Linked DNA regions of Tamandua tetradactyla. The protein of the gene in region 1 interacts with the protein of each later gene in a pairwise test. Links are inferred from orthologs where the notes say so. Each region holds a gene or a part of one and is shown on either strand. Other genes may lie near its edges. The genes, in order: DCP1A, PNRC2 and RITA1.

Region 1 (7,181 bases):
AATAAGGTCCCTTCTATATCAGTCTTCTCCTATAACAGACAATGAGTCAATTAGTAGTTGTCTCCCCCCCTTCTCATAATCCAACCCCAAAGAGCCCCAACAGGGAAGCAACACTTCATGTTTCAGATAAACTACTTTATTTATTAAAAAATTAACCACTTTTGGACAAGTGAAATAAGTCTCCTTCTCATTCCACCAAATACGGTCACCAGTTTCGTATGTATTCTTTCAATGTGATTGATGCAATAAGCAATGTTCATCTAGCAACAAGTCTGTTTCTGCAGCATTTTTTCTTTTTTAGCTTTTAAAGAAGAATATAATAGAATTAGTTTTCACTTCTATAATTTTTTTAGGTAAACATTTTAGCCAAAATATTTTAGCCAGATTTCTTCATCTTAAAGCCAAGGTCCTGTGTACAGGAGTTCTTCACTTTTACAGTTTATCAAAGCTAGAAAAAAAGAGAACTTTTTTAGTTTATAGGATACTTTGTTTCATTATTGGGAGATTTTGATATATTTTCATGAGCAACAAATCTCCTGGTTAGTTAAGAATTACTGTGAAACACAGTTTGCTATTCTTAGAACTTTGTTGAACAATGATGAATATTGAGACTATGATGTAATTATACCTCTAACAAATAATCTAAAATTTTCTTTAGCTTAAAGTGAAAATGTTTTAAGGAAGTACAACTCATTACTATCTTCATTTGCTTGGACAAGAGTGTATTTTGGTTTTAAACACAGTTACAGTGTTTAAACAAAAAATAACCATATAAGTCTGCAGTTCACAATGCAGGTTAAATTAAATATTTTAATGTAATCAACAAATTATTAGAAAAACTTTACATATTAGTCACACCAAACTGAATTTTTTGGGATAAAAAAATTTATCACCTTGATTTTTTTCCAGTTTTGTCCTAGCTTAAATCATCATGAATTTTCTCAAGGATTTTTTTTACTGTCTTACAGTAAAAGAAAACTTGCTCATTTACTCCATTGTGCAAGTTACGACCTACTAGTAAACAAAGAAAAGATTTTGGTTATATTCCGTGTGCCATGATTCCAATAAACAATGGCAGCTTATTTTTAAATCCAGGTTATTATAGTTTGTATTTCATATTTAAAACAGAAATCCACAATTAAAATTTCAAAGTACTGAAAATCTTTGTGAAGACTAGAAATAAAAGTTCGTTAATGAAAAATTCCAGCCCCAAGTCTTCACCATTTGTCCACGATTCACATTTGCACCCGACCACAAATTTATACGCAGGCTAAGAAAAGAAAAATGATTCACAACAATTCAAACTAAGGCAATGTCTACAACAACTACTCCTTGGGGGGGGGGGGGGACTAGAATTTTGTTCTTTGAGGCAAAAAGAACAACCTCCATCCCTTCCAGAAGGTGCATGAAATAAAATAAACTAAAGCAAGATTTTGAAAACTCTCTTCTTCCCAATTAACTGTTTAAAATTGTCAACTGCCAAATGATTTTCACAAAATTACTGGTAACTATAATCCATGCAGCAGTACTATACTGTAAGGGGCATATTACAGTGATAATCCTTCAGATTTTTGTTAGTGTAGGGTCTTATTTTTATTTGAAGATATGAATGTCAGCTACAGATGTTTGTAAGAAACACAAACTTTTTCTAAGTTTCAAGTCTATAACTGAGTCGATCAATTAGAAGAAAACAAATAATTAAACTACAAACTTCAAGCAGAGGCGAAGAAAGGTCAGTTAACAGATTGAATGCAACCTTTCGGACCTTCTCCCGTACAAAGAAGTCAAAATGTACTTAATCTGACAGGAGCACTCAGAGGTGACATCACCAGCATCTCACAGCTGGAACTAAACATATTTACAGGCGCTCCAAAAGTCTCAAGGCGACCCAGATAACATGGAGCCCTTTTCTTGTCTTGAAATCTTTCCCCAAACTTTGGAAATACAGTATAGTTGCATTAAATCCGGACTCACTCCTACTCTCCTCTTCCAAGAATTGAAACTAACTGGATTTCAAGCTTTAAATCTAAATGTCCTTTGCAGAGGGGACTTCCATTTTTGCATGTTGTGAATAGGAAAGGGGTGTTTATGTATCAAGTATACGTAAATTACTTAATATCCCTTAAAGCCTCAGAGACAAGCTTTCAGGTACCCCTCTGATTCCACTGGTCTTCTATCACCCCACACATCCTCAAAGAAGACAGGCTGACCACGACCCCGGCCCTGACCCAAAGGAACTCGACCCTGCGCTAACCCTTCCCTCCAGCTTCTTTTCCCCGGGATGTCTTGGGCCTACTTTCCTCGCTCCTCTCCCCACAGCCCCAGGAGGTCCTGACACGATTTCGGCTCCGATCGCGAACTTCACTAGTCCCTGACCTAGCTCACGCCACCCTCACCTCCCTTATCGCACCCCCTCGACCCCCCACCACTATGGCGGCCCGCGCGGCCCCTTTAAGAGTCGGTGGCGGCCGAGCGGCCGTTTTCCGTGGCCGGACTACACTCACCCACTGGTTGGCCTTGGGGCAGAAGGTGTATAGAGCAACCTGTCCCGTGAGGTCTGCGATGCTGGTGATATAGGGGTCGTGTCGCTTCAGAGCCGCCAGGCTCATCTCCTGCCCAGCTCGACTCAGCGACTCCATCTTGAATCCCGGAGCCGAGCCCCTCCGGTGGGGGCGGAGTCGAGGACCGGAAGGTGCCATCGAGGCAAAGTTCCCCAGGTGCGTCAGTACCTTCGACTTCCGCATCTAATTGTGGTGTTGCGGGGTGCAATCACTGTGTTCCGCTGCCCGCGCACTTCGGCTGCCAGGTTCCGGCATGTTCAGGTTCTCCCTGCCCAGCCCGACCGACGTCCGCTGTACAGCGTCTGAACTCGCGGCCGGATTCCCGGGCGGTTCTTTTCCGCGAGCATAAACGTCCCTGCACCAAGATCCGGGGTTCCTGCGCGTTTCAGGGTTCCTGCCGGAGGGGATCCGAGACTCACCCCAGCCCGCCTCCGGCTCTCGCGCGAGGGACGCAGCAGCGAGAATGGGGGACGCCACACGTTTAGAAAGCACCGAAAGACAGGGGACGCGGGAGACCCCGAAAATTACCCCAAATCTCACCAGATCGTCACCGTTTACAATCTGCTGTTTTCTGAAGGAGATATTTGAAAAAAGTAACTCACCTGAAACTTCATAGACGTTTTTATTGCTGCCCACTTTCGCTTCCTCTTTTCTCTTGTCTGAGTCTCGCGTAAATATTTCTATCCGGTCCTGGAAGGGCCCCATGAAGGCCTGAGTTGTGCATCATTTAAAAGGATTAAAAATACCACTCATTGTTTTGGCAAATATCTGTTGAAAATTCTGAGGCATTTTAAAGAGGCAGATGTTGTTGATAGTGAAAAAGTAAAACTAAGTCCAGAGACCACAGTGAGCTCTTGTCCCCACAGACTTGTTTAAAAGCAACATTTTTTCTTAAATTTTAAAAGATACGCTAACAGAGTTAAGCAAAACATTCGAAATTTTAAAAATCCATAATTTCATTAAAATAACACTATAAAATATGTATGTGTTTATGATTTTACATCCTAGGAGTATGTATTAATCGAAAGAGGCTCTATGTCTTACATTCTGTACAAAATCATATAAGAAGCACAGATGAGGCCAAGGAGAGTATCGCTCAGTCACCCTTCATTAAGCAAGTATTTATTGAACTCCCAGTTGTGGACTGGCTCCCTTGGGAGCTCCAAAGTCTATTGACAACCTCCTGGGTGTGGGAGAAATGAAAGAAGTAGAACAAAGCAAGGAAACAGGGATAATTAATGCTAGAGACTTTTCTGAAACACAGAGGATGGAGCCACTAACTCCATCTAGCCTGGCAATATAAGAAGGCTTCATGGAAGAAATGATGTTTGCATTGGAGTGCCAGTGAAGAAAGGTAAGGACTCCCTTTCATTTCATTTAACAGCTCAGTGCTGAGTTGGGGAAAATGTGGTCATCCTCACTGACAGATTATTAGTGTTATTTATTTTTTTTAATTGACAAGCCAAAACAATGTACAAACACGAACATTCTTAACATACAAACATTCCATACATGGTGTACAATCAGTGCCTCACAATACCATCACATAGTAGTATATTCATCACCATGATCATTTTTTAGAACGTTTGCATCACTCCAGAAACAGAAATAAGAAGAAAAAAGAAAAAAATCATAGTATCATACCCCTTACTCCTCCCTTCCATTGACCCCTAATATTTCCATCTACCCAATATATTTTAACCTTTGTTCCCCCTACTTTTTTTCTATACCCCTGTTCTAGTTTGCTAGCTGCTGGAATGCAATATAACAGAAATGGAATGGCTTTTAACAAGGGAAATTTAATGAGTTGCTAGTTTATAGTTCTAAGGCTGAGAAAATGTCCAATTAAAACAGGTCTATAGAAATGACCAATTAAAGGCATCCAGGGAAGGATACCTTGGTTCAAGAAGGTCGATGAAGTTCAGGGTTTCTCTCTCATCTGGAAAGGCACATGGCGAACACAGTCAGTTTCTCTCTTGGCTGGAAGGGCACATGGCAAGCAAGGCATCAATCTCCACTTTCTCTCCTGGCTTCCTGTTTCATGAAGCTCCCTGGGAGGCATTTTCCTTCTTCATCTCCAAGGGTCGATGGCTCGTGGACTCTCTGCTTTGTGGTGCTGCAGCATTCTCTGCTCTCTCTCAATCTCTTTCTCCAAAATGTTTTCTCTTTTATAGGACTCCAGTAAACCAATCAAGACCCACTCAAATGGGTGGAGACTGTCATCCCCTAATCCAGTTTAACAACCATTCTTGACTAAATCACATCAACCAGGGCAATGATCTCATTACAGTTTCAAACATACAGTATTGAATAGAGATTATTCTACCTTTATGAAATGGGATTTGTATTAAAACATGGCTTTTTCTTAGGGGGCATGCTTCCTTTCAAACCAGCACAACCCCTTACCACTCCCTTTCATTGATCACTAGTATTTCAATCAACTCAATTAGTTTTAACATTTGTTCCCATTATTTATTTATTTTTAATTCATATTTTTTACTCATTTGTCCATACCATAGATAAAAGGAGCTTTAGACACAGGTTTTCACCATCACATAGCCACATTGTGAAAGCTCTATCATTATACAATCATCTTTAAGACATGGCTACTGGAACACAGCTCTGCAGTTTCAGGCACTTCCCTCTAGCCTCTGTAATACACCTTAAATTAGATTGGGATATCTATATAATGTGTAAGAATAACCTCCAGGATAACCTCTTGACTCTGAAATCTCTCAGCCACTGACCCTTTATTTTGTCTCATTTCTCTCTTCCCCCTTTTGGTCGGGAAGGTTTTCTCAATCCCTTGATGCTGAGTCTCAGCTCATTCTAGGATTTCTTTCCCACGTTGCCAGGAAGGTTTACACCCCTGGGAGTTATGCCCTAGGTAGAGACGGGGAGGGCAGTGAGTTTGCTTGCCATGTTGGTTGCGAGAGAGAAGCCACATCTGAGCAACAAAAGAGGTTCTCTGGGGGTGACTCCTAGGCCTAATTTTAAGTAGGTTTAGCCTATCCTTTGTGGGGATAAGCTTCATATGAACAGACCCCAAGATTGAGGACTCAGCCTATTGATTTGGTTGTCCCGACTGCTTGCGACAATATCAGGAATTCTCCAAATGGGGAAGTTGAATTTCTGCTCTTTCTCACCATTCCCCCAAGGGGACTTCGCAAGTACTTTTTTATTCACTGTTAAATTACTCTGTAATTTCTTGGGGCATCACATTGGACAAACCTACAAAATCTCATGCCCTATTCAAGGTTCCATGTACTTATGGTGTTCAATTAACCTGTCTATATAGGTTATATTAGGAAATGTGCTAGTCAAAATATAAATTTTGTACCAAATAAACATTTTTTTGCTTTAGTCTTACACAGAAGTTGAAGTTTTAAAATATGAATGACCACCTATTTTCAGTACCCTGCAATATTGACATTCCTTTGTTCTTCCTCATGCAAAAACTTTTTAAAATTTGTACATTTAGTCACTATCATTATACACTCTAGGTATTCCTAGATTATACCATCTCAGTTTTTATCGTGTATCTTTCCTTCTGGTTTCATTTGTGCCCCCAGCCCTTCTCCCTCTATCATTCTCACATTCAGCTTCATTCAGTGTACTAACATTATTGTGCTTCGATCAGGTAGTATTGTGCTATCCATTTCTGAATTTTTACAATCAGTCCTGTTGCACAGTCTGTATCCCTTCAGCTCCAGTTACCCAACATCTATCCTGTTTCTAGCTCCTAGTGACCTCTGCTCTTAACTGAAATTCTTCAAGTTCATTCATTAATGTCAGTTCATATCTGTGAGACCATACAGTATTTGTCCTTTTGTTTCTGGCTAATCTCACTCAGCATAATGACTGACAGATTATTTAATTGAGGCCCTAGAGGAGAAATCATTGGCTCAAAGTGACACACTAATCAGAAGGCATCCAGTGATAGAATCTCAGGGCCCCTGCCTTCTACCCTAGGTTCCTTTCCGCTACTCCCAAGTTGCCTTTCTTCCTCACAGTGACAAGAAGCAGTTGCCCTATACCCTTTTACCTGCCTTCAATCAAGGGTTTCACGAATCTGTATCCTATTTTTTTACAAATGTGTATTTTTTGAATAGGTAATACATTCACTGGTACAAATTTCAAAAGGCATATCTGAAACAGAATACTTTTTTTCTCACACGAATTTCTTAAAATATGACATTTTCTTTTTATTTACTATTTTTGGTTGTGTTAGACTAGTGAAGAATACCCAGCTATTTTAGGGGGTTTTCATATTTTGAATAAAAAGTCACTTCACAAAGCATGTTTGCATGGCCCCGAACATGTTAATATTGACTTTCATGCCCTTTACTGCTGTAGCTCTTAGATATATTAAAGACGAAGTGAATATTTTGGAATTGAAAACCATCCTCATTTACCTTGAGGCCTAATTTTGCCTTATGTTTGTGAATTGGGCCTTAAGGTCTTTCTTGTGTCTTTTAGACAATTAGCTCTGAGAAGGCAAAGACTGTATTTTCGCCTGTTAGGTCTCCAGCACCTATCACATAAAGTAGACCCTCAGTAAATTCACTGAATGAATTTTGTCTTAAAACCCAACTCCTTTAAATCCATGCAAGAGAGTTG
Region 2 (7,921 bases), on another chromosome or scaffold:
ATACATAAAACTCACATTATACAATTCCCCACTTAGCGCCAACCTCTACAAGGATGATTTGAGGCCAGATCACTCACTGTCAAGTTTGTACAGAATACAGAAAATGTATTTTGAAAGCTACTCAGTGACCACCAAATACTGTTTCTATGAAAAATGGTTTGGGAGCATTTACTGGCAGACACCTATTCACTGTATGTGAGAACAGGGCCATTGGGGCGTAGTGCACCTCATTCTAGTAAGCCCCCAAGTGCCCTTTCCACATGAACCACTGTAAAATTTACTACAATGTACTTCACTACTCATTAAGGAAAATTCACATTTTCTCTTGGCAGTGCATCAAGTTGTTGGTACTTGTTCAGGTGTTTGTAGGACATTAAACTTTCAAGTATTTCACTAGTTCTTGATCTCTGTATGATCTTAGCTAGATGTCTGGAATCTGATTGACTAGCTTTCAACAAGTAAATCTATTCCATGTATGATAATTCCCAAAAAAAGCATCCGAAAAAGATTCCTTTGTTGTTTTCTAAATCTAAACATACATGGTTTCACTTCTTTATCAATTAAGAACGTCAAGTGCAATCAACAAATTATTTTAAGTTGCACTGATAGTACCATTACCTCATAGTGCCCACAACACACAAAACAAGTGAGATAAAATCTATTCATATTTTCTACATTAGCGGTTTTACACAAATATAAAATAGATGAATGTTTCAGACCAACTGACTAGTCTTAAATGTGATGCCTAAATTTAAACATTAGTATTTTATACCTGCACTTTAAGTAAGGTTTTAAGTTGAAATGTCATTATTTCCTTATCAGAAGGATTAAAGGAAACAGGAACCCAGTGGCTTGGTGGTTTAGGAAGAACACTTGGTGATGGTGGCTCACTAAATTTGGCTCCAGCATAGTTCTGACTAGTTTGAGATTTAAAAAGTAAGCTGGAATTCCAATTCTGATTATTTGGAAAATGTACTTTGTTCTTCCCCCCATTTTGCATGGCCTGCCATGCAGCTGCTGATGAGTTATAACTATGTCCTCTTTCTTTTTTCTTATGAACAATCTTCATCTGGGAATTCTGGTCCTTGGTCTTCTGTCTATTATGTTGTTGTTGGTTCTTACTAACATTTCTAGATTGGGGAACTGGAATATTATACCTCTCTCCACCACCCATCTTCAGGTTCTTTGTCACCTGCAAATTAATGGAAAACAAAATACTGAGTAAAATTCCATTAAGTTCACAGTTGTTTTTTATTTTTATTTTAAAAAGGGGGGGGGGAAAGCTGCTATAGCCCCAATTTGTAATTCTGAAGTCTTGGGGGCCTAAATTATTAGCTGCTTTAACTCAAGTTAAAGGAGGGTATTCAGAATTCATTAAATGCATACCCTTTATTACCTCCCCTAAGAAAAATAAGCTTATCCACAAATCCGAATAACCCTCTATTTTAAAATGAAAGCAATTGGTTTAGGATTTGAGTTCAGCTAAAATGTCTGCCCAATATAATTCTCTAATTTTTGTACCTTTCAGTCTGCTTTTCAGATTGCAGGATTTCCACTACCAGTCCCCTTCCTTGCTGCCAAGCCCAGGATAACAGGTGTTGCCTTCTGACAGATCCTTTCCTTTGTTTGAATACAGAAGTTTTCATGGGCCGATCTGCTGAGTTCAGCCTAGGAGCTGAGGCCAACATCTGAGTTTCCTCAGCACACAAGTTTGAGAGAAGTCTTAGCTAGAAAAGCAAAGATTACTTAAATTCAGTAGGAAAAAGTGGTCATTTATATTACAGAAATAATTGTAAAGGATGGCCTATTTCCTTAGAAGTAGAAAATATGTTCCCCTAAAATGGCTTTCTTTGATTTTGTAACTACTATCATGAACTCTTCTCTTCGAGATCTAGGACCCCCCTGGAGAATTCTTAAAAGAGTGTCTGTAAGTCAAGCAGTTAAGTTCTGTTTGTGTATCTTTTTCCCTGGGAAGTGCCTTTTAAGATTCTCACAAGGATTTTGTGACCGGAAACGTTCAAGTCAAAGTTGGAAAGTGTTAGCCTTAACACTCCTACCAAGAAATTGGCTTAATGTTAACTTCCCAAAGTGAGTAAGATGTTAAAGCCCACCAGAATTCTCCAGTCTTTCAACACTCAACATAAATGCATACCCTTTATTACCTCCCCTAAGAAAAACAAGCTTATCCACAAATCCGAATTTTACACAAAACCTCTTTCAACATGTCTACATCAGTGTTTCCTTTGCTTATGAACACACTAGACTCCCACTGCTTTTAAAATAAGTATTCAAAAGCAAAACAATCTAAAACGGTTTTCAATCTTCAAAAACGTAAATATACCTCCCTACTGGGACCATTTAACATTGCAGGTTTCATTTTTTCATTTAATATACCATGAAACCAAATTAACCAACAAATAAGAAGTCCCTTTCTTTTCAAGAGTTAAGACAGCCTTCCAGGCATTTTTTATAACTCTATAATAAACTACGATTCCCAGACACTGCGGCATTTACAAGTCGAACCCGGAAAACTCGGGTCTTTCGATGCGGAGCTTGGCTTCCAAGTAGCTCCACCTTTCTCGAGCCCCAACCCACGGGCCGCGTCCCTCCCGGCCGCCCGGGTTCCAAGCGTCTCTCTACTCGCCTCCTTGTCCCAACAATGGGGAGCGCAGGCACCAACATGGCCGCACCCGCGGCGACACCACTACTCACCGACTTCAAGCTCAAGACTGCGACAGCAGCGGATCCTATTAGGTGATGAAGCCTCACTCCCCTTCCAGGGAGAGACGAGGCAAGGAACGAGCAAAGCCCGACAGCACCGACCAACTACCTGCTGAATACCACAGTGTCGGACGACCAGACCACCCCTTTCTGCCTCTACCGACAAAATGGATACCCAGGCAGGCGCAAGAGAGGGGCGGGAGGCTTCGCGGCCAATCGAGACTCGAGGGTGTGGGGTTGAGCCAATGAGGAGCGGGCAGCCGCCTGTTGCTGGGGCAGGACTGGAATGAGGGAGGAGAGGTGGTTGTTGCCGAGGGTTTGAAATCTTTCCCGAGAGGAGCATGTCGGGAATAACTGCTCCCTACCGTAGCGGTTGCCGCTTCCCTTCCCGCCGGCTGCTCGCTGCCTTGCCCGCAGCCCGGGGTACGACCGCCGGGTTCTCGCGGCGCCTTTCTGAGGCCTCGACGCCGCCGTCCGGACGCCGGGCGCAGCCCAAGGGCCGCGCTTTGCCCTCGGTGGGCGCTCGCGCCTGGAGAGGCCCCTCAGCGTCTGCTTCCCTCGCGGGCGCCGCCGCCCTGACCATTCGGCGCGCCTGTTTTTCCACTAACCCCCATGAGGAGTGACTGAGGGATGGTTAGTTGGTTCCCTAGTTAAGTGCACTCAGCCATGTAACCTATTTTTTTATATATGGAAAACATACAAAAAAAGTTTTCCATGACCGAGCCCCAGTCCGCGTGTCCGGCCTTTGCTCGGGACACTTGTCTTCGTCCTTTCCCTCGGTTCTGGGAGCTTCTTTGCCAGTCCCAGAGCACGCGGTTCCCTCTGCTCGCAGTTACCCCCAAGTTACCTCCACTGTGAAGGCGTTTGACTCATGCACACAAGGTTATCAGTCCCTTCTTTGTGTCCCCACTGTTCCTTACCTTTTTATCGCACCTTATTGTTCTTGCAACGGTGTGTATCCACCTGGCTCCCCGACCCCCCAACACATCTGCATATACCCTTCGAGGAGCAAACCCAAGTTTTTGTTTTTTGTTTTGTGTGTGTGTGTGTGTGTTTTAGCACAGTGTCCCCGCTCACTGTAAATGCACTATAAAGGTTTGCTGAGAAAACGTGACCTCCCTTATTTCCCCTTCTGTCCCGTTTTTACTTGAAAAAGAGATCAGAAGATATGTCACTCAGCTGAACGTAACAGTGAGGTGCAGGGAAGGGGAAAGGACAACTTCTTTGGAGTAAATGTATAAGCAACCCAAACTGTTTTAAAAGAGGACCCTAACTTCTATTTGTATGAATAATTCTGGGATAAATGGTCCAAAATCCTTACCTTTACACTCGCAGTTCATACATCTGTGAACTTTTTTGTTACATAATTTATATATACTGACCTTTTATAAATCCCACGTAATTTGTGTTTTAATCTTTAATTTTTTTGCTACTATCACCTCTTATCCACCAACCCAACACAAAACCCCGTGTTCTAGCTGTGGATCTTAAGAAGAGTTACTGTACCTTAAAGAGGAATTCATTAATCAAATGAACAGTTATTTTGGGGTAGGGGGACTTTCTGGCTCTAATTATATTATAGTCAAATAAGGTGTACATGGCAAATCAGCTGCTAGCTCACTGTAATGTATTTCTCAGAAATTCTGGAATCTTATTTAGATATCCAGCCAGATAATAGCAATGGCGTGTTTAATGGGTTCAAGACTTTGATCTCAGGAAATGCCCTTAGAATATATATTTTAATATAATGCCTTGTAAAATAGTCTGTTTCAGTCTGCACATTTTTTCCTAATTCCTTTTTTATCAACATCAAAATATGTCTTTCAAATTTACTCCCTCTATACTCACACCCCTTCTGGTTTCTCCCTACCCCTCCATCCAGCTGAATGTGTTAACAATTTAAAATTCATTCCAGTTTGTTTCAAATGTTCTGTATTCTAGAATAAAGTCTAAACTCCAAACATTTAGAAAATTATTCAAAGCCATCACCATCTGAAATTCGTCTTTCATTTCTTCAGTAGACCTCTGAATCTTATCTGTATAACCAGACATTTTGAATACTTACTCTGCCCTAAGCCCTGCCCTATATGGTTTTGCTTATATCTCATTTAATTCTCACAAAAACCATTTGGGGTGAGTACTATTTTGATCTCCACTGTTCAGAAAAAGAATCTGATGCTCAGACAGTTTAAAGCTGGGAGCCACACCCCAAGACTCCAGAGTCCAGCTTCCATGTTCCCTACAGCATCTTTGTTCTCCTGTAGCTCAGCCGGGCTTTGTCCAGACCAGGCACTGACTGAACGTTGACGGGGTTGCCCGGGCTGCTAGGGCAGTATCAGGGCCCCACCCTGCAGCCGGGTTGGACCAAGTTCTCTGCCAAAAGAGCCGAGTCAGGCTGCCCTGGGGAGAACGCTTCCAAAGCCCTTACTGACTCCCAGACTGTGAGCACCTGCTAAGCATAGCACCAGCCTCATCATTCATTAATCTTTCGCAAGAACCCCCAATAGCCCAGTACTGGAGAACAGCAGTTCAAGTAAAACCCTCTTCAGAACATCTGATAGAGCCTCTGCTTGTCGCAGGCTGGTCTTTTTTTTATTTTTTTTTTAATTGAGAAATCTCACGTACATACTGTCCATACATGGTGTACAATCAGTGGCTCACAATATTATCACATAGTTGTGTATTCATCACCACGATCATTTTTAGAACATTTGTCTCGCTCCAGAAAAAAAGTAAAACATATATCCCATACCCCTTACCCCTCCCTCTCATTGACCACTAGTATTTCAATCTATCCAATTTATTTTACCCTTTAACCCCCCTATTATTTATTTATTATCCATATATATATTTTTTTAACTCATTTGTCCATACCCTGGAGAAAAGGAGCATCAGACACAAGGTTTTCATAATCACACACGTTATAAAATCTATATCATTATACAATTATCTTCAAGAATCAAGGCTACTGGAACACAGCGCAACAGTTTCAGGTACTTCCCTCTAGCCACCCCAACACACTACTAACTAAAAAGGGATGTCTATATAATGTGTAAGAATAACCTCCAGGACAACTTCACAACTCTGTATGAAATCTCTCAGCCTCTGAAACTTTGTCTCATTTCTCTCTTCCCCCTTTTGGTCAAGAAGGCTTTTTCAATCCCGGCTCATCCCAGGAATTCTGTCCCACATTGCCAAGGAGATTTACACCCCTCGGAGTCATGTCCCACATAGGGGGGAGGGCAGTGAGTTCACCTGCCAAGGTGGCTTAGAGAGAGAGGCCACATCTGAGCAACAAAAGTGGTTCTCTGGGGGTGACTCTTAGGCATAATTATAAGCAGGCTTAGCTTATACTTTGCAAGAATAAGTTTTATAGGGGTGAAAGAGAAGATTCCCGCATTTGTTGATTGAGGGCTTGGTCTATTGATTGGTTGTCCTCCCTGCTTGCAAGAATATCAGGAATTCTCCAAATGGGAAAGTTGAATATTTCATCCTTTCTCCCCAATCCCCCAAGGGGACTTTGCAAATACTTTTTTATTCATTGCCCAAATTACTCTGGGATATATCAGGGTATCACACTAACCTGGACAAACCGACAAAATCTCACACCCTATTCAAGATTCCCTGTACTTATGGTGTTCAAGTAAACTGTCCATACAAATTGAATTAGGTAATACACTACCCAAAATATAAATTTTGCATCAAATAAACATCTCTCCCTTTGGTCTCGCACAGAAGTTGAAGTCTTAAATATGGACCATATCACCCTTTACCCTGTATTCTGATTTACCTTAGTCCTAACCAGATCAGCTTCATCCATATCTCTAGTCAAAGTCTCATTACTTTTTCAACTTTTTAACCAGGCCAATCTTTAAAGGTAGTTGCACTAACAGGATCCAATTCATGGTTCGTGGTTCAAATAGGAAAATGTTGATGCAAACAAACAGCTGTCAGGATGCTGATCAGCCACCAACATGGGGAGATAAATGCATAATAAATACATGAGTACTTAATATAAAGTATGTATTTAACAAAGAGTTATGTGGTGCCTATTTTGTGCCAGGCACTTTCCCAAGCCTTGGGGACACAAACAAGGCTCCATCAGGGTCCTAAAGGAACTTAAAAAAATGTTTCCTTTAGTATTTATCATAGAAGGAAGCTAGTATGATGGGGAGATTCATTCCCTCAGTTCCCCTGAGACTGAAAACAGGCAATGCCAATTGTGGGCATAAAAATCCATATACTAAGAATCCCCAACACCCACCACTTAGTAAGGTACAAGTTATAATGAAACGGAACCCTGCAGAATGGAGGGGAGAAAGAGAAGATTCCCACATTTGCTGAAATTTTTTACCATGGAAGAATCTGTTTTAAATTAAGTATCAGTGGGTGAGGAGCCATGATCAATAAAATCTGTCAAAACTTTTAAGTAAACATTACCTACCCAGCCTGTAAATAGGAGTGGGAGTGGGGGTGGGGGTGGGGGCAGGCAAAAAGAAAGTATTTCTGAAACTTGACTTTGAAGGATGGACAAGTTATATATATGCTGATGCTTATTGTATTTTAGACCCCATGAGTACCTGGGCTTTTGGGGGCAATCACCCAGGGCTGACAAGCTTTCAGACTGGCTCATTTCTCTCCAGCGTGTCTATTTCAAAACAAAAGCTGGTTTCGCTCTTTTGCTTCCTAAGGCTCATCTATGAGTTCAATGTGTGTCAACTTTGAATGTTTGCAGGTCTGTTAGCTTATGGCTTGTTCAAATCAAGCAACTTGGAACCTATCAAAAGGATCAAGTAAAACACCTACCTGATGTTTTGACGTGCCTTAGCACCCTGATCTTTTTGCCAAACTGGTATCAAAACACACACCCCTTCACACATCATGAATTTGTTTCCTGGAGAAGCATCTGCTGCGTGTTCTGACTTGTACACACATTCCTGAGCTATTGCAAATCTGTGTGCAGCCCTTTTATTCTAGTTACTAAATGGGGTACCGGAAGTCAATGCTAAACTCCCACATGTCCTGTGACTCTGACCTACAAGTTTTTAACTTCCTCTGGGTGCCTAAGCAATTCTGATGCCCAGGTCCCACACCAGAGCAATTAAAGCAGAATCTTCGGGGGTGGGAGCTTGGGTAGTTGGTGTTTTTAAAGCTTCTCAGGTGATTCCAGTTTCTCACTCTGGTTGAAAACTATTTTCTA
Region 3 (7,555 bases), on another chromosome or scaffold:
GGGTCGGGAACCAAACAGCGACTCATCACAGTAAGATGGAGTGTGGCTGATCAACCTGGCAAACAAAAGGGAAATGCAGTGAGCTGGGGGTTGATGACCCCTCACACCTTGACATCCCTCAGGTACCCACAGCAGCAGACAGGGTTGACTGTAGAGCCCAGCAGCTTCTGTCTCCCAGCCTGGCACCGACAATGAGGTCAGAGCCCTCTCATGAACCACTGCCCCCATCTCTGTTATTTTTCCCCTCCCAAGCATCTAGTCCCCTGCATTCTGGCCCCGATCCCTGGCATGTGCCACCAGGCCTGGCCAGCCAGCTTATTCCATCTTGCTGTCTACACTGACTGGTTCAGGAATGAGCATATCACCCAAGTCTGCCCAGTGAGAGGCTCCCCTATGATTTTTGCTGAAACCAATAGGAAAGAGGTGTTTTCTGCCATCTGGCATTGCTAAAGCTGGCAAGATGTAAGTCCCAAAGTAGATTGTGGCCATCTCACCCCTACTGGAGATTTTAGAGGCAATTATTTCCATCAACGTCTATATGAGGTAAGTATCATGATTAACCCCATTTTACAGAAAAGAAAACTGAGGCGTGGGTAAGTTTCTCATAGGCAGAACGTTGTAGAAACTAGATTCAAATCCAGCCTGACTCGAGGACCCAAGTGCTGAACCACTAAATCAGTGGACCCCCACTTTAAGTCAGATTCACTCAGCAACGATATTTCATTAAGTCAACAAATATTTACAGCATACTACTAAGTGCCAGGCCCATGGTTTTAGGGGTGAACCAAAAGTGCTTCCATTCCCAATCCGCAAGATCTAACCTTCTGCCACTTGGTGTAGCTGCTCAAACCTTATCTGATTGATGCTGGCTTCTGTCTAGCACCAAAGTTTTTGCTTAATAATGTACCTTGTCAGAATCTAGGACAAAATGCCAAACTCCAGTCAAGCGTGGGTTGACTGCACCTCCCTTGCCCTCCCACCATACTTTTGTTAATGTAGCTCACATTTACATGAGCATTTGCAGGCCTCTTATAGGAGTCAGTGTTGTTAATGTCAAGCTGATACTGCCTTGTGGTCCACAGAAACTGCCAGACACATCACCCTCAACCAGATATAACTAATTCTTCCTTTTATCACTGATGAATTCTACCTCCTTTAATAGGCATCATACCTACCTGCACTTCTCTTATCTGATGTATGTCCTTCCTGGCTCCAAATGGATCCTAAATTTAATTGGCCAGTCTTGTGTCTCTGTTCAAATACTGATAACAGGGAAAAGGACAGAGCCTTGTGGCTCACCACTAGACACTAGGCTGATATTAATCTGAATCTATATAGTCTGGTCCTAATCTGATCAACTAGCAACAATAACCACAAGTATCAGCTCCTGTGTCTCTAGCCTGTTCATGAAAATGCAGCAAGACCCATTTTCTAAATGACTTGCTAAAATTCAGAAATAGCACATCTTGGTCATTTCACGGAATATTTGAGGACAAGGAGATTCCTAAATGCCAAGGATTGTATGCCTCATCTCATTTAATCCTCTCAGCCACCCCAGGAGGTAGGATGATTAGTTCTATTTCTAAATGAAGAAGCTACAGCTTAGAGAGGTCAAGGTACTTGACCAAGGTCACACAGCAGGTGAGCAGCAAGGCTGTACAGGAACCCAAGCAGCTACGAGCACAACGGTACATCTCCCCACTCCTCTACCTGTATTTGCTCTTCTTCCTTGGTGTGAGGGTTGGGGTGTTGCCCCTAGAGGGGGTGGTCTCACAGCTCCTGTTGGCCCCTGTAGCCTGTGAGGCCCCTGCACCCACTCCTCTGGTTCTGTTGGCCTTCTCCACCCAGGGTGGGTCAAACTCTGGTGGAGCGGGACGGGTCCCTGCAGGGCTGCCAAACAGAGTCTCATCCACATATGACGCCCTGGCCTTGACCCGGTGGCTGCCTCGGCAGCAGTGCTGGAGGTGGAGGGTCTGCATCCCACTGACTGCCAGCTCCATGGGGGTCCTCACGCAGCTTCTGGACAAGGGTGACAGTGGGCATGCTCTGTCTGCCAAGCCCCGCCTCCAGGGCTCCCTGTGAAAGGGGATCAGGGTGGTATCTGTGAACCAGTGGCAGTGCCAGCTACGGTCCCCACCCCAAGGGCAGAAGGATCTAGTTCTCCCCCACCAGTCCTTCTCAGGGCGAGCTATCAACCCCAGTGGCGTTTCAGAAACTTGTGGAGGCATTTTTAGTTGTTATAATGATGTGGAGTGGGGGCACTTCAGGGATAATCTAATGAATGAAAAGGGATTGTCTCCTAACATACAGTGATTGTTCAATATTTATGGACTGTCTGGGGTAGGGAGGATGAAGGAAACAATGGGTCTTATGCCCATTTTGATACCAGCCAGGAAACAAATTAACCACAGCAAGAGCGGGAAAGGGACAGGTCCCTACTGGAATACCCCGTATGTATTTCTGGGGGTGGGGATGACAGACAACATTGCTTGGAGGCTCACCCCGTGCAAAGCACTGCAAGAGCACTGCCCCATTGAATCCTCTCAGCCGCCCTGTGAGGGACCGTCCATCACATCCATTTTACAGACGACAACACTGAAGCTTCTTTCTCAAGGTGAAGTCATGTGTGTAGGTCACGCCTAGAAAGCGACGTAAACGCAATGAAAACCCGACGCAAGTCGAGCCTTTTGGGGACCCTCCTCCCACTCACCACTACCCTCCGCCCCCACTCTGCCCCATTTCTCGCTCCCCAATTCAACACCCTGGTTAATCCCCGAGGTCGCTGCATTCTGGAGTTATTCTCCAAGCCGGGTACCTTAGCACGGGGGTGTGGGCTACAGCCCCCAGCGCCCCCTCCCTCTCAGGCCTGGCCGGGTCTGCGGGGGCGCGCGGTGCACCCGGAGCCCGCGTGACTCCGCAGCCGGGACGCCCGGAGCTCAGACCGCGAGGCCGACCCGCTCACCCGGAGAAGCCAGGCCCTGGCGACGCGCGCATCCGACAACAGCCAGCGCGCAGGGGCGGACGCGGCCGGAACCATTCCTGCCCGGGCATGAGGGGGAGGCGTCCCGTTCCCGACGTCCTCGAACTCTCCTAAAGCCACGGAGAGGGGCCCTCCGCGTCAGCCGGGAGAGCGTCGTTGATCAGGCATCCTAGGGCCGCCGGCAGAGGCGACAACGCGCAGGGCCGTAGACAGAGCTCTCCCCCCCCCCCCGCCCACCGCACAGTTGGTACGTCCCGGCAGGCTCCGCCCCTCCCTGCCCTGTGCGTCCGAGCCCGCATGGCTGCCGGCGCGCGCCCGGGCGCCGGGCCTCGGTCCGGAGCTGCCATGGCCCAGTGGAGGAAGAAGAAGGGGCTCCGGAAGCGCCGGGGCGCGGCTTCCCAGGCCCGCGGCAGCGACTCGGAAGACGGCGAGTTTGAGATCCAGTCAGAAGATGACGCCCGGGCCCGGAAGGTGGGAACGATGCGGGCAGGGACGCAAGTTGGGGGCCGGGGACGCGGCGCGTCCGCGATCGGGGCACTCGGGGCAGCAATGCCTCAGTTTCCCCGGCTGGGGAGTGAGGGCGGCTGAGGGTGGGAGTGAAGTCCGGATGTCCGGGAACCGGGGCGCAGGCCCCGTGGCCTAAGCACGTGTCTCGGGACCTGCCGCGCCCTCGGGTCCAGGCCACCCGAGCCTCCTAATTCCTGGGCCCGGGATCTGCGGGCCTGGCGGGCTGGGTTCGGAGCGCCGAGAGCTGCGAGCAGTAGCGCGCCCCTCATTGGCTTCCTCTGCTCAGCGGGCGAGTCCTTTCTTCCTTTTCCTCCAATGAAAAGTGCGGGTGCGGAAGATCTGACTTTGCAAGTTTGGGGGACCCTTGGGAGGTGTTATTAACAGGGAGGCCCGAGTGCATGACCCGAGACGGTGACCCCAGCCATCAAGCTTCCTGGGAAGCCTCATAATCAGTTAAACAGATTTCTTGATCGCTGGCTTTGTGCGAAAACCTTTATATGCCTTATCATTTAATCCTCACACCAGCCCTGTAGCCAAATCCTGTCAGTTCCACTTTCCAGATGAGGAGACTGAGGCCCCGTGGGATTAGGTAACTTGATGAGATCACCCAGCTTGTTAGTGGGACAGCCAGGATTCACACCTGGGACTGTCTGGTTCCAGGACCTGTGCTGTTTGCACTACTGCGTGCCAGCTGTGAGCACCAACGGGGCAGAAGAGCTGTAACCCCGTATTTCCCAGAGCCCAGTGCCAGCCGGTGCCTGGCACAGAGGAGGCCCTGGGTACATACGTGGATAAGTGGATGCTCACATGCAGGGAGGGGCCTTACACACTTCCAGGGCAGGGACCAGGTAAGGCCCCCAGTGCCTGGCACAAAGTAAGTGCCCTGTAAAGTTTGTGGAGAAACTGCCAAAGGTGACACATGGCACAGGAGGTTAGAAGTGGTGAATGCCAAAGAGGATCTGTAGTGGTTCATCCAAGGAGTTGTGGCACAGCCCTGCATTCAAACCTGGCCCTACCCTGGACTGGCTGGGGGACACTGGGGAAGTTGCTTAACCTCTCTGTGCCACTGTTTCCACTTCTGTAGAAAGCTGATGATTATATGCGCCTCAGAGATTGTTCATTTCCCGGTTCCCTAAGTATTGCGAGGCCTCTGCATGGGTAGGCACTTGGCTTTCAAGATCTAAAGCAGGGTTGGCAGACTTTTTCTGTAAAAGGCCAGATGGTAAACATTTTAGGCTTTGTGGGGCCATGCAAAATCTGTCTGTTTACTTTGTTTGATTTTGTACAGTTCTTTAAAATGCAAAAACCATTTTTATTTCATGGGCTGTACAAAACCAGTTGCAGCCCTGACCTAAGGGTTGTGGTGGGTCACAGAAGGTCATGGGGGAGCCAAACCAGAGTTCAGATACCTGTTCCCCCCACTTTCTGGCTGTGTGACTGTGGGCATGTCACTTCTCCTCTCAAGTCTCAGTTTCCTTATTGTGAAGATTGAGTTAATTTAGAAGACTGGAGAGCGACCTCTGGCTTATAGTCCATGCTGTGTGAGTTTTAGCTATTATTATCAGTTAGTGTTCCATGAGTGTTATTTCTTAAAGGAAGAGGGTGGTCCAAGAAGACTCCCTGGAAGAGGCATCTGGGTTGGCTTTAGCTGTGTCTTAAAGGATGAATGTGCCCTGCATAGGCTGAGAGGAGACCAGAGTTGGTTGGGGGTGATATGCTGGAAAGGATCTGGGTTAGGGAACAGGACAGCTTGGAAAAGTCTAGTCCCTTATACATAGTAGCTGTTTTGATTAACCAAAATTTTTAATTTTGAGGACTTTGAATAACAGACGAGGATGACGACGGCGATGATGTTGTTCATAATAATGCCACCAGCCGCTGTGTGTTAGGCGCTGTCCTAACTTCCACTTTCCCATTTAATCGTCACAACACCCCTGTGGGGCAGAAGCTCTTGTCCTCCCTCTTTTCCATTTGTGCAAATTGAGACTCAGGGAGGCTGTCACTTGCCTGAGGTCTCGCAGCTGTTGAGTGACGAATGCAGATGGCCTGACCTCCGGGCCACTTGAGCCCGGCCCAGACAGGGAGAGCCCTTCAGCAGGGAGGACACGTGATCCCGGAGGAGCGCGACTAGCTGGCATGGGGAAGGAACTGGCATCAGGACGGCCCCCTCCCTGCCCACTGGGGCCTGGTTGTGCCTGGCACGACCCTGCCTCTCCGTCCTTCCCTCTCAGCTAGGCCCTGGCAGACCCCTGCCCACCTTCCCCAGCTCGGAGTGCACCTCGGACGTGGAACCAGACACCCAGGAGATGGTGCGCGCCCAGAACAAGAAGAAGAAGTCCGGAGGCTTCCAGTCCATGGGTGGGTGAGCCAGGCGCCCGGGGGCCTCAGGGCAGCAGCAGGGCGTCCCTGTGCCCTCCGCCCAGTGGAACCCATGCCCGCCTGGGCCCAGCACTGTGGTGGGTGCTGGGGAGACCGAGGCAGCAGATAGGGTCTCCAGGCTTTCAGGGCCTTGTGGTGGTGGTGACAGGCCCAGGAAGAGGAAGCAGCAGGAGCAGAGCGGTGGCAGTGGGACTGAGGGTGCCCCCAGTGGGGACAGAAGGCCTGCTGAGGCTCTAGAGCAGCTCACGAGCTTTCGTGAAAGGGCCAGATGGTAAGGTACCAGGCCACAGTGTCTCTGCCACCCCTACTGGACTGCTGTGGAAGCAGCCGGATGATAACAAACCAGTGGGTGTGGCTGCGTGCCAATAAAACTTTATTTCCAAAAACAGACCTGGTTTTGGGCCTGAGGGCCATAGTTTGCTAGCCCCTGCTCTCGGGTCTCAAGGGTGACAGCGGATGGTGCAGTGTCTGAGGCATCCCCAGGGGCTGGTGAGGTTGATCCGGCCTCCTCTCCCCTGCCCCGCCAGGATGGCCTCTCCCACCAGCCCCAGTATCTGAGCTAATCGCAAAAGGTGCTGACACTTATCAGACACCCATAATGGAACATAATCTGCTTGAAACACAACGCCTCTGTTCAATCCTCACAACCCTTTTAGGAGGCACTGCTACATCTCAAATTACAGATGGGGACACTGAGGCAGGGACAGACTCACTTAAGTTACCCCACTGGGGAAGTGGCACGGCCACGGGGGTGCCCCCAGCCCCTGACCCTCCCCGTGTCTTTCCCAGGCTTGAGCTACCCGGTGTTCAAGGGCATCATGAAAAAGGGCTACAAGGTGCCGACGCCCATCCAGAGGAAGGTACAGAGTGGGACCTACCCGGGAGGGACGGGGAGGAAAGGGATCTGACCCTTCCAGGTGGCCTCTTTTTTTTTTTTACATGGGCAGGCACCGGGGATTGAACTCGGGTCCTCGGGCATGGCAGGCAAGCACTCTTACCTGCTGAGCCACCGTGGCCCTCCAGGTGGCCTCCTGACAGCCACCCCTCGCCCCAGCCATTACACCTACATCCCCTCTTACCCTGGTTGAAGCCCAGAGCTCACTCACTCCACAGGTGAGCGAAGCCAGGCTTCTGTGCCAGTCACACCTCCCCGGGCTGCCCACTGCTGAGCCGCTGCCCCGGCATCACCACCCATTCCTCTGGGGCCCCAAGGGAAATGATTAGTCCAGGAGGTTGGCGTGACTTCTGAGGAAGGATGTGCCCCCTGAGGAGACATTGGGGGTGGTGCCCTCATCCCAGATGCACAAACAAGCTCTTGTAAGAGTGGGAACTGGGCTGGGTGGCAGCCTGAGATCCCGTAGTCTGCCGTCCCCAGGGGCTGGAGACTGGATTGGGCAGCACTCGGGTGTGTGGTCAAGGCCTCTGGGCACCACCCAGCCCCTGCACTTGCCCGTCTCCAGACCATCCCGGTGATCCTGGACGGCAAGGACGTGGTGGCCATGGCCCGAACGGGCAGCGGCAAGACAGCCTGCTTCCTCATCCCCATGTTCGAGCGGCTCAAGACCCGCAGTGCCCAGACTGGGGCCCGCGCCCTCATCCTCTCGCCCACCCGCGAGCTGGCCCTGCAGACCATGAAGTTCACCAAGGAGGTGCCTCAGGGGCCGGGGCAGCTGGGGCTGAGCTGGAGCC

What was found.
Region 2: the proteins of DCP1A (region 1) and PNRC2 interact in binary tests that used the Homo sapiens proteins (3 or more experiments, as listed by UniProt). The link is inferred for Tamandua tetradactyla from reciprocal best matches to the Homo sapiens genes DCP1A and PNRC2.
Region 3: the proteins of DCP1A (region 1) and RITA1 interact in binary tests that used the Homo sapiens proteins (3 or more experiments, as listed by UniProt). The two-hybrid records come from large-scale screens. The link is inferred for Tamandua tetradactyla from reciprocal best matches to the Homo sapiens genes DCP1A and RITA1.

What each region holds. Positions count from the first base shown.
Region 1 is NC_135341.1:32,330,727-32,337,907, reverse strand, and holds the start of DCP1A (mRNA-decapping enzyme 1A), read right to left. Parts: upstream 3,102-7,181; 5' UTR 2,745-3,101; coding exon 2,505-2,744; intron 1,015-2,504; exon of another isoform or gene 894-1,014; intron 30-893; coding exon 1-29. UniProt on the Homo sapiens protein: Necessary for the degradation of mRNAs, both in normal mRNA turnover and in nonsense-mediated mRNA decay. Removes the 7-methyl guanine cap structure from mRNA molecules, yielding a 5'-phosphorylated mRNA fragment and 7m-GDP.
Region 2 is NC_135328.1:202,314,019-202,321,939, forward strand, and holds the start of PNRC2 (proline-rich nuclear receptor coactivator 2), read right to left. Parts: upstream 3,029-7,921; 5' UTR 2,713-3,028; intron 1,728-2,712; 5' UTR 1,522-1,727; intron 1,193-1,521; 5' UTR 1,175-1,192; coding exon 767-1,174; 3' UTR 1-766. UniProt on the Homo sapiens protein: Involved in nonsense-mediated mRNA decay (NMD) by acting as a bridge between the mRNA decapping complex and the NMD machinery. May act by targeting the NMD machinery to the P-body and recruiting the decapping machinery to aberrant mRNAs.
Region 3 is NC_135331.1:13,850,889-13,858,443, reverse strand, and holds the start of RITA1 (RBPJ-interacting and tubulin-associated protein 1), read right to left. Parts: upstream 3,080-7,555; 5' UTR 2,963-3,079; exon of another isoform or gene 2,816-2,962; intron 2,640-2,815; 5' UTR 2,502-2,639; intron 2,077-2,501; 5' UTR 2,001-2,076; coding exon 1,711-2,000; intron 56-1,710; coding exon 1-55. Other genes in the region: ATP-dependent RNA helicase DDX54, read left to right, coding at 3,278-3,451, 5,719-5,845, 6,656-6,726, 7,327-7,515. UniProt on the Homo sapiens protein: Tubulin-binding protein that acts as a negative regulator of Notch signaling pathway.